3 linked regions of the Arabidopsis thaliana genome follow. The protein of the gene in region 1 interacts with the protein of each later gene in a pairwise test. Each region holds a gene or a part of one and is shown on either strand. Other genes may lie near its edges.

Region 1 (3,784 bases):
CTTCCCTCACATTACACAACAATTTGGTGAAGACTCGAGCATGTCCGGAGACCTGTGAACATATATATATACAAAACTTAGTCACCTTGGGGTCTTTAAAGATCACAGAGATTCCAATAAGGAAGAAGACTTACATTTGGCCCAGACTAGCGAAATCAAAGCCAGGATCCATCTCTTGCACTATATCACTCGGTGGTTGTCCACACTCTTGCATCTTCTGCATTATCTCCATTATCTTGGTCGAATTGTTTGGTTCGTTCTCGTACACCAAGTTGAGTTCTTTGATAAGTTCATACTGGCGTGAATAACGATCGAATTCTTCCTTGTTTAGACTGGATTCATGCTCTTCTAGCCATTTTGGGTATCTTGCACCAATCTCTTTCATTGGTTCGTGAAGAATATCCTTCGATAACAGCTGTTGCATCATCGTGTCCACTATCGACTCCAAGTCCTAAACAAAAACATGGAAATTATGAAATGAGAAATCATAAAAACAAAACTTCTAGTGATCAAGACTACTTTCAAATGGTTCTGCAAACTAATTCTCATCTTCAATTGTGGTTTTTTCGATATTAGTATCAGTATCACTACTATTAACACAGCCTTCAAAACTACTTTGCAACATGTGTTACTACTCTGCAACAACCTTAACTAGATGAAACTTTAGTAATCTAATCTAATCAGAGAACTTGAAGATAAAGAGAACATTAAACTAGATAAGTATAGCAAGAAGTAACAACTCAGTTTGTGTATACTTACGTTAGACCCAGTAAGATTCTCGAATTGCTTGATCCAATCTTCAACCATAGCATCATCAGAACCTGTAGGTTGCTGCTTCGATGACAAGGACTCAAGTCCCTTCACAGTTTCTCTAGTTTGTTCCCTGAGTTTATCAAGTGCCTCAGTAACATGGTCCTCTTTAGCAATCTTTTTCTTTCCTTTCTTCTTACTCCTCATATCTGGTAACCCCATTCCAAGACCTTGAACCCCACTTGGCAATGACTCTGTCTCTTTTTTATCACCCTCTTCTTTCTTAACCCCTCCATTTCTACATAAATCCAAAGCTAATCAACACCACAATTCCCACCAAAAACATAACAGAACCTCTAATTTAGTATTGATGTAACCACAATCTCAAAACTCTAGAGCTAAGTAATCTAACCACGTGGCATAGATACAATTAGAGAGAGACAGAGATTATGAGAAAAAGGAGTAACCTTTGAGTAAGATTAAGATCCTTGAAATCATCCAAGGCACCTGAGAAAGACCCAGAATTCTAAATTATAGAAAACGAACCCACAAGAACAAAAACGTTTTTCACCAATCACCTAGAATTGGTGAACATGTTATCAAATCAAATTAAAATTCGTTAGGAAATTATTACTATCGAGAAGCTCGTCTAAGTCATCGGTGTGAGTATCGTTGGCCATATTCTCGAGTCTCTCTTCCTCAACTCTCGAAGAAACTCACAAAATTCGAAGAGGAAGAGAGAATTATCGCATTGAAGAGAGAAACAAATTTCCAAAGGCGGTGTTGTTCAATTGATCAAGTTCAGGATTCGATCCAACGGCTGACATTATTTCCATTAAAGAATTATATTATTAAAATCTTAAAATGACTTGAAACCACGAAAGCCCATTAAGTTTAACTGTGTTGTGTCGTAAGCCCATTTTTTCAAGAACCAACGACATTGCCACAGAACATTTTTTTTTTTTTTACTCGCAAGTCTCTCAAGCAATGGCGCAGACATTAATGGCGACAACTCGTCCGTACGTTCTTCTCTCTTCCACAAGAGCGAGTCTTTATCGCCTTTTTCAATCTTCAAAGAGACCCTTCGCTTCATTCTCAGCTCCTCTCGTGAGATTCACTAACTCGAGATGTGTAAGCGCCGTTTTGTCTCGTAAAGAGACTGCGCCGTCGTCGATTTACGGCAATAGAGTTTCTAGGGTTTCTGGGTTTGGTGCTTTGGACATTCGCAGCCTTAATTTCAGTACTAAATCCTCTCAAATCAATGATGCTGGTTCTATTGATCAAACCCTTATGCAATCCATGGAGCTAAAGGTTGGATTTTTATACCTCATTAACTAATTTCAGTGAAATTGATTCATTGTGTATGTTTCAGTGTCAATTCAATTTATAGGTTATAGTATTATTAGTGAATTTTTGAAGGAATTGATTGGATACTTGGTATTGGCAACATGTGTCATATTTAGTTGATGGAAACTTGGTATTGGCAACACGATTGCTCTCAGTAGCTCCAAAATGATCAAGATCACTAAGCTAAGATAATTAATGAGGAATCATGTCTCTTACTTATATGATTGAAGCAAACGATTCTTTTTTTCGATTTATCAACACATGTCTCTCTACTTATGAGGTTTTGGCTTCATTTGCAGATCAAAGAACAATTGAATGCAGAGTCGGTTACTGTAACGGATATGTCTGGAGATGGACGTCATGTCTGGTAAGTACTCTGATTTAACTCATTTTTGTCTTCCAATGATGATTCTTTATTACACTTGAGTGAAGTTGCAGATGTGTGTTATCACTGTTATGGATAGTGTTTAGTGAAGTTTGTTAGATATATAGATAAATTCATATTTTGAGATTCCTTTTCTTTCATTTTAATCACAAAAAAGTTTCAGGTTCAACAAGTAGTAGAATCATCAAAGTTGGGATATAAGTTAGTACTTATTCTTCTGCTCTTGATGGAATCCAGTCATAGATTCTTACTTTAACTTGTCATATTAGATGGTTCTGTTACTTAATACCAGTTTTGCTTAATATTTGTAGCATCAATGTGGTATCATCGGCTTTTGAGGGACAATCTGCAGTGAACAGACAAAGGATGGTCTACAAAGCCATTTGGGAAGAGCTTCAGAACGTTGTTCATGCCGTTGATCAAATGACAACAAAGACTCCTTCTGAAGTTTGAAGCGTTAAATTTTCCGAACTCTAAAAGGCTTCAATATCTTATATTATTTGATTAGCTGACAATGCTGTTTGTTTTATCAAAAAGAAAAAAGCAAAAGGAACTGATATACAGCTTTTGGTTATTTTTTAAGTACTTTGATTGGTTCTCTTGCAACCCGCCAACACATGTTAAGTGTTGGAGCGTTTGCGGTTTGCGGTTACACGTGTTTGGCGTTTTCAATCGCTCTAAATGAATAAGAACAAAATTAGCGTTTGTGGTGGCGGATTATCTTCAAAATAAACTTTATTCTCTACTAGCTAATGTTATCATTTCAAAAAAAAAAATTTAGTCGATAAATAGATTAAAATATATTTGTGGTCATAAAAATTATATGTATGCATGGAAACGTATCAATTCAAAACTGAAAAGTTTTTTGCAATGAAAATTGTAAGATTTATAATAATATGATTGTTGCTTTTATATACATGTTACATGCATGAATAGTGAATAACTGAATATTGAACTACTATGGTTGATTTGGGAACCGTATTAGCCATCAACTAGACAAAAATCGTTTATATCAGTAGTAGCAACACTTAATAATGGTTACAACTAGTCCATCTGCTCAAATTCCCATATCTTTACTTTAGCTACATGGATTAACAGTTTTTTTTTTTTTGTTATCGGTTATTATACCATCATTAGAAACATAATGTTGTTTTGTAAAAAAAGAAAACACTCATATTGTTACAACTTGGAAACATAAGTTCATTTAACTCCAATTATTACAAGTAGACAAACATAGGTTTTATAGATACTATACTACCACAACCCATCACATGTTTTTTTTCACATTATGATTGGTATTTA
Region 2 (4,106 bases), on another chromosome or scaffold:
GCTTATACTATAAACCTACGAGCTACTGTAGGACTTAGCGGTTGGCTTCCTGGTTGGAGGTATAAATATATGTCTTCAACCCTTTCTTGTCACTTGTTAACACAGAGACTTAACATTGAAAGCTTAAACATAACAATGCAGGAGCTTAAGGAGCAAAATAGAAAGTTCGAATGAGGTTGCAAGGCGCGCTGCATCGATACCGATCTTACTTGCACATGGAACTTGTATGTTTACATATATCATTATATGATTTACTGTTTCAAGATAAAATCACCGAAGAGAATCTAGAATTTTATTCACTTTATGTGTTTTTTGGTTGCAGCGGACGATGTAGTTCCTTATAGATTTGGAGAAAAATCTGCTCATTCACTTGCCATGGCTGGATTCCGACAAACTATGTTCAAACCATATGAAGGGTAACTGTTCAACCTATATCCCAAAGTTATCATTATCAATCTAGTTGTTTTAGTCTGAGATTGTGAGGTTTTAATGTGATTGTGTAGGCTTGGTCACTATACGGTTCCTAAAGAAATGGATGAGGTGGTTCACTGGCTCGTCTCAAGGCTTGGTCTCGAGGGTTCGCGTTAAACTTTACAAGCATCTTCTCAGCATCTCTATAGCTATTATACGATGGTGTAGAATATTTATATTATATATATAAGGGGTGGGGGGTTTCTTGGGGTATACGGTGTTCTCTCATGTTTCTACTGTTTTGTGATTTATTCATGCTTTTCTACTGTTCGATTCTTGATTATGAATAATAAAATAAATAAATAAGGCTCGTTGGGCTTCTTTGATTTTGCTATCTTAGTTTACCAAAGTTTTTATTCATACGAAATCCAAAGATTTTTGAGTTTCTGAGACATTATTTTACCGTACATGAAAAGACATTCTTATGAAAAGAAAGAACAAAAACATAATAACTTCCACTCGTCAGCATAACTTCCAAACTTTGGATCAATCTTGGTTTCCGGAGACGTCTTTAAGCTTCTGCTCCAATTCACCTTCCTAGAATAGTAAAAGAGACTTGTGATTAAACAAACACAATGGAAACGGGGGAAAAAAAAGTCAAACAGGGTCTGCTTTAAGTGGAACTAACCTTGTGCATGTTAAGGATGATGTCTGAGCCGCCAATGAACTCTCCCTTAATGAAGATCTGTGGAAACGTAGGCCAGTGGCTGCAAAGAAATAAAGACTTGAAAATCAAAGGGAGGTCTAGATCATATAGGTCAAAGATTAAGGAATGAACGGTAACGAACTTCAATAACAAAGCCAAACTTTATGAAAAAACTTTGAGAATGAGATTATACAACTCTCTGTATGAAACTTTCATTAAGTGTCCACATACTCACCTGAAGGATTTCACAGCGTTTTTCAACTCTTGGTCTTCTAGAATGTTTCTAGAACTGATAGGAACATCTAAAGAAGGATATCACAAGATAGTAGATCAGAACACAGAGCCTAACGCCAATAGTAAAGAAAATTCACAGAAGGCTTCTTCAGTTTCAATCAACATTTCAACAAAACTTACTATATTGCTGCAAAACTCTGACGGCTAGTGAGCTAAACCCACACTGAGGAGATTCAGGGACACCTTTCATGTAGATCATAACAGGATTATCCTTCACATCCTACACAACCACCAAAGCTAAAACAGCATTAGCAAACACCTAACAAAGAAACATTCAACTTCAAATCTAGAGAAGCTGGAGTGTACATTCTCAACGATATCTTTAAGTGAGTCCGTAGAATCGGGAGGGACTTTTTGTGTAGGCTTGAAATCATCATGTGTATCTGAATCACTTGGCACTGTTGAGGAAAATCTCATCATCCCATTTTGGTAGACTGATGCAGACGTCTGCAAACAAAAACCACATCATTCTTCTCCATGTTAAATTCAACTATCAAATGATCATCAATACCATCTTCTATTGGAAACAAATTCATTTTCACATAATTCAAAACCATACGCTCACGTAACTATCTAATCCGGTTCAACTAACAAAAGAATCAGAACCTCAAATGTTATATAAAGGAGCAATTTTTAAGTGATTCAAGATGGGAAAAGAGAAAACTTTATTGAGCAAACATTAGATACATCAAAATTGAGTAAAAGGGTTATGAGAGAATCTAACCAATCTGCTAGAACGAACAGCTTTGAGATTAGCGATTCCTTTTATAAGTCTGCTCGATAAAGAAGCCGCCATCTCTAAATCACGCAGATTTCTTCAAAGTGTTCCGCGGTTTTGTTTAATCGAAATCTGTCTAGAAAACTATCAAGAACAGGAATGAGAAAAAAAGATTAGAGAGGGTAGCTACGAGGAAGAAGGACGGAGCTAGAGATCTTTACAATGTCGCGACCGCTTCTCTTCATCTCCAGTGACCGACCCAGAGAACGACGTCGTGTCATTACTCATAACCCTAAGATGTTATACGATGTCGTTTCGGATGGTCACCAAAGTATACGTCCGTTGACGTCTTGATAAATTTATTTGGTTTGCTCGGTTTAGATAAATTACTATTCAATTTTTTTGGTTTACTTCTCTCATTTTAGTAGATCTATGAAATTGAACGATTCGTAAAACGTAAAAGCAGACACAAATGTTTTATTGAAATTTTTGATAAAAGAAATTGAAAGATTAGTAAAACCCGTTTGGATTAGCAGCTATATCTGTATAATGCTAATGCTTGATGACCAACATACGAAGTGGACCATGATGTGTATTAATAACTGTTTATTGTAACAAAAATAGAAATTTGAGAACACATAAGTTGTAACAGGATCAAATCTAAACTTATTGGCTGGAAATTAGAAGTCTCCAGGATCACCGTCACAACAAGAAACACAGCTGAACCACAACCATAAAGAAAGACACAACGGAAATTACAAAAACACAAACACAAAACTCAAAAGACCAACTAACACAAAGATACTTTCATATCGTTCTCAATTTTGTTTTCTCATCACTTCCTCTGATAAGTCTGATGAGTCGGATCAGTGGTTCGAGTAGTTGCAGTAGTGGTAGTAGTACTTCCTGGATAATGCTCTTTGTCTTCTTCCTCAGTAGCCATCCCAAAAGTATGCTTCACTGCATCAGCTGCACCCATTGCCATTTGCTTAACATGCTCACCAGTCTGGCTCAAGAATCCACCCGTCTTGTCTCTACCGGCTTCAGCCGTCTCCTTTGTGTACTGTGCCGCACCTTGAGCCGTCTCCTTTGTATACTGAGCAGCGTCTTGAGCCTTGTTCTTTATGGCTTCGCCTGTCTCCGATAAGTAGCTCCCGGCCTTGTCCTTGGCCTCGCGAGCTTTGTCGCCAGCTTGAGATGTCTTTTCTTTTGCTGCTTGCGTCGTCTCATGGGCCTTTTGCTGTGCCGTTTGGGCAGTTTGAGATGTCTTCTCTTTTGCTGACTGGGCCGTTTCATGGGCCTTCTGCTGAGCCGCTTGGGCAGTTTGAGATGTCTTATCTTTAGCTGACTGGGCTGTCTCATGGGCCTTCTGTTGGGCTGTTTGGGCCGTTTGAGAAGTCTTGTCCCGGCCCTCCTCAGCCTTGTCCCTCATCGTTCCCATAGCTTGTCCAGTCTTCTCCTGGTATTACACAGACAAATCATCTTAGAGCTTATATAATGTGGTTTTACGTATACACATACACAAAAATATATTCTTATTACCTGGGCCTTGCCTCTGGTCTCACCAGCTTTGTAGCTCTGTTGGTTGGATGCCATTTCTTTCTTCAAATGTGTATCAAACGAAACTAGATAAGTTTTAAAAGCTTTTTTCGTAAAAGTATTTGTTGTTGTAGTAGAAACTGTGATTTGTCTCCCCAAACCATCGGGACATTTGTAGTGTGTCTTGGTCGGCGGAGAAGAAGACACGTATTAGCACATTGAAACGTGTATAGCTGCGTGGTGTGTTGAGGTTAAAAGAAAATTAAAAAAATAGGAGTTTAGGGGTGTTGTGCTTTACGTTGCAAGCGTTAGTATGCGGTTTCTCGGTCTTGTCCGTGTTGTCCTCTGAGGTTGCGACACCTCATGGTTAAGAGGAAGATGCTTGCTACGTGGCAACACCATAAGTATCGTCGTCGCATGTTATGAGATTGCTAATTT
Region 3 (3,441 bases), on another chromosome or scaffold:
GATACGAATTTAGACTTGGAAGAAGAGAGAAGCGAAGGGTACACGGCGGCTATGCCACAGCTCATAAGCGAGTTCGACGCCATCGTTTCTCTCTATCTGTCGTTGTGTTTGCCACCAAAGGAGAAAGATGTGGACGAGAGGTGTTTGGTGGAAGTGTGAATGTGGGAGACTGATCGTATAAGTAAGATTTGTGAGATGAGAATCTAAAACCAGATTGCAATTGGCTATACAGAGCCTGCGTGGCTTTTTCATTGGGCCACGTGTCTTCTCGATATCATGTTCTTCTGTTCGATATCCATCTGCACTATGTGGTTCAGATAAAAGCAGAATCTACGTATATTACTATTTTGCCATTTATCCACTGCAACGAGATGCTATCAGATAAGTCTTCCTGTTCGGTGAAACACATTTCTACTAATGTTTTAAAACTTGACCCGGACCGGTAAATCTGCGATTGGTCATGAATCCGGTCTGGATTTATTGCTAAGACTGGAGACTTATCAAACCGGTAAAACTTGGATCAACGAACACATGCGAGGCTAAATCATATGTCTTGAAAGGAGTATCTAACAAACGATACATTTTGAGACAACGTGTTTAGACATTGAAGTGAGACAGAATACCATTTGCAGACACACTGTACCGGTGAATGTTCAGAATCTTTGGAACTAAGTTTCTTTAAATTGTATCTCAATCAGGATATGAATGAGCATAACAACCCATGACTTCATGTCTCTTAGTCAGAAACAAACTTAGATTCTACTAGCACTACTTCACACATAAACCTTTCAACAAACAACACAAATTTGCAGGCCAACACATATGACAAAGGAAACTCAAATTCCAAGCAACTCCAACTGTTGTATACCTAAATCCATCATACAATATATGTCTCTTAATGTTACAACCACAAACTCTGAAACATCAAAATCACATTTTTTTTCCCAGGTGATAGATAGATAGATAAGATCAAATTCCATCATCACAAAAACCAAGTATTGAAATCAGGATCAAGAGCACATAGCTTTCTCCACCTCTTCCTGCAATTCTCCAGTCTTAAACGCCTCAAGAGTAATATCACAACCACCGAAAAACTCACCGCCGATATAAAGCTGAGGAAACGTCGGCCAATTCGAATACTCTTTAAGTCCTTGCCTCAACATCTCATTCTCCAGAATATTCACATCTTCGAAAGGAACATTCAGATTCTTCAAAATCTGAACCACAGTGTTGGAGAATCCACACATCGGGAAGTCTCTCGTTCCTTTCATAAACAGAACCACTTTCTCCGAATTCACCAGTTTCTCCAGCGTGTCTTTAAGTTGCGGCGTAAGAGCCGACGCTGAGCATCGGAATTTAGTTGGTTTCAGCTTGAGATTCGAACCGTAGAACGATAGCTGATGGTTATGGACGACGAGTGCCGACGTTGGTTTAAGAGAGAATCTGATAGAGTGAGGCTTGTTGGTAACGGAGGAGGAGACGACGGCGACCGAAGTTATCAAGGTCGGCGTTTTGACAGATCGGAGAGCCATTTTTGACGACTTTTAGATTTGGAATTGAGAAATTGAAAAGGTAAATGATTTATGAGCCACAGACACTCAGTGCGAGTGAGAATTGAATAAACCATGTTGCCAAACATCACCACTAAGCCGGTAGTGCATGTCATAATCATGGGTTTAAAAATAAAAATTAGAGGACATTCCGGTTCGGTTTGGTTCGACTCTTTAGATTCCGGTATTTTAGATATTAAGAAATTGGTTGGTTCCACTTGGATCGTATTAGTATTTCGGTTTAATAATTTTAGAGAAATTATCAGGGCATCAAATGCTTTTCAGTTTTTCAACACAGAGCTAGTTCTCTTTTCTTCATTCACAAGGTATGTATATATCTCTACACACCTATAAAACCCCATAAACGATTAAAACTTATCATATAACTTCTCCAATCAACATAATTTGTTTTTTGGTGGACAACATATAGAATAAAGTTTTTATCACATACAAAAAAAACGGAAAACATAGAAAAAGATGGTTGACGAAAACAAATTTTCAGGTTGAAGACAAACCATACGAGCCCGGGGACATGGAAGAACTGAAGAACAAGCTTTGTTTTGGTGATCAAATACTCTCAATCAAACACGAGTTGGCATGTTGTTGAAGCTCTAGAAGAAAGTGCCAACTCCTTTAACATGTCAAATCTTTCATCATCAAAAACACATGACTTGATTGTTGTGGTCTTCAAGTGAACAGCGTTCTTCAAGAAATACACTGCAAGATCTCTCTCTTCTGGTGTTCCTCTATATGCCGACAAGTTGAGAGTTTGGAGACTCAACAACATACATTCAGGGACAGTACTTGGTTGATGCCAGTAAAGGATATCATGATTCTCATGATACTGAGATCAAACAGAAGAAGAATTACAGATCAAACAGAAGAAGAATTACAGATCAAACAGAAGAAGAATTACACTAAAACCATAATGTGCATCAGACAAGAAAAAAGAGTTTGACGAACAAACTTACATCCATTTCGGAAAGGTCTAGTGCTTGTAAGTTAGAAGAATCTTTGAGCAGTCGGACAAGTAAATCCGACGAATGCCCTTTGCATCTACATAGCTTCAGATGTTTAAGCTGGTTGAAGACAAAACCTCCATCATACATAGCCTGCGCAATATTAAAAATTATCAGCAAATGCATATCTAAACAATGAGTTGAGAAAATGATACCTGTGAACATATTGAAAGACGCTTGACAGATGTGATTGATCCAATAAGACTCTTGATGCTATGTAATTCAACATCTATATCTGCCTCTATCAGGTTAGGCATATTCTTAACCAAACAGTAGTGACTCTTACTGTTATGGTCTATAAGTTTAAAATACTTTAAAGAAGGAGTTTCTATCACAATCCCATCGATCTCATAAGAATGAGGTATAAAGAGTGATAAAATCTGCAAAGATGGGACAACAACAGTTAGCTTTTCCATGCTGTCTGACAAAAGTAAATCCACCAATAGATCTTCAAGAACAGGGCAGTTAGATAGAAGCCGATGAAGAGAGTCTTCATTGAGGTATCTCACGCTGTGAAGTTGCAAAGTTTTCAGAGAGGGAAGAAATGCCATTCGAGGAACATCCAAGCGAATCTCGCCACAGAGTTCCAAGATCACAAGCGATTTGCAGGTATACAAGTTACTCGGCAATATGTTTGGCTTCTCCGGATATGAAGAATAAATAACCTCCAGCTCACGCAGGCAGTGAGAAACTGCTATAACAACCCACATCTTGATATTCTCAGGTGTGCATTTTGAATCAATTAAGTAAAGACGGAAGCTTTCTATAACCGGAGCTCTATGTAATGGCAGATTTTTGTCAAGAAAACACTCCAACCTCTTGCATTCAGAAGAATCTCTATGACCATACTTAAGTTTAGGCAACCACATCCA

Evidence for each region. The genes of interacting proteins can lie anywhere in the genome.
Region 2: the proteins of AT5G17560 (region 1) and GRX4 interact in a two-hybrid assay, tested with the Arabidopsis thaliana proteins (one study listed by BioGRID).
Region 3: the proteins of AT5G17560 (region 1) and CXIP1 interact in a two-hybrid assay, tested with the Arabidopsis thaliana proteins (one study listed by BioGRID).

What each region holds. Positions count from the first base shown.
Region 1 is NC_003076.8:5,786,737-5,790,520, forward strand, and holds AT5G17560 (BolA-like family protein), read left to right. Parts: upstream 1-1,621; 5' UTR 1,622-1,737; coding exon 1,738-2,061; intron 2,062-2,396; coding exon 2,397-2,464; coding exon of another isoform or gene 2,465-2,468; exon of another isoform or gene 2,469-2,639; coding exon of another isoform or gene 2,640-2,658; exon of another isoform or gene 2,659-2,793; coding exon 2,794-2,935; 3' UTR 2,936-3,228; downstream 3,229-3,784. Other genes in the region: PEX19-2 (peroxin 19-2), read right to left, coding at 7-52, 135-451, 760-1,048, 1,218-1,257, 1,385-1,430.
Region 2 is NC_003074.8:5,307,177-5,311,282, forward strand, and holds GRX4 (glutaredoxin 4), read right to left. Parts: upstream 2,449-4,106; 5' UTR 2,208-2,448; coding exon 2,136-2,207; intron 1,859-2,135; coding exon 1,718-1,858; intron 1,632-1,717; coding exon 1,532-1,631; intron 1,420-1,531; coding exon 1,353-1,419; intron 1,179-1,352; coding exon 1,100-1,178; intron 1,009-1,099; coding exon 958-1,008; 3' UTR 589-957; downstream 1-588. Other genes in the region: AT3G15650 (alpha/beta-Hydrolases superfamily protein), read left to right, coding at 1-59, 142-224, 323-416, 504-588; AT3G15670 (Late embryogenesis abundant protein (LEA) family protein), read right to left, coding at 2,965-3,588, 3,672-3,725.
Region 3 is NC_003074.8:20,340,840-20,344,280, forward strand, and holds CXIP1 (CAX interacting protein 1), read right to left. Parts: upstream 1,626-3,441; 5' UTR 1,533-1,625; coding exon 1,011-1,532; 3' UTR 518-1,010; downstream 1-517. Other genes in the region: LHCA1 (chlorophyll a-b binding protein 6), read right to left, coding at 1-83; AT3G54910 (RNI-like superfamily protein), read right to left, coding at 2,128-2,394, 2,522-2,662, 2,725-3,438. UniProt on the Arabidopsis thaliana protein: May only reduce GSH-thiol disulfides, but not protein disulfides. Probably involved in the regulation of the redox state of the BOLA proteins. May act as Fe-S cluster donors to Fe-S cluster-requiring proteins.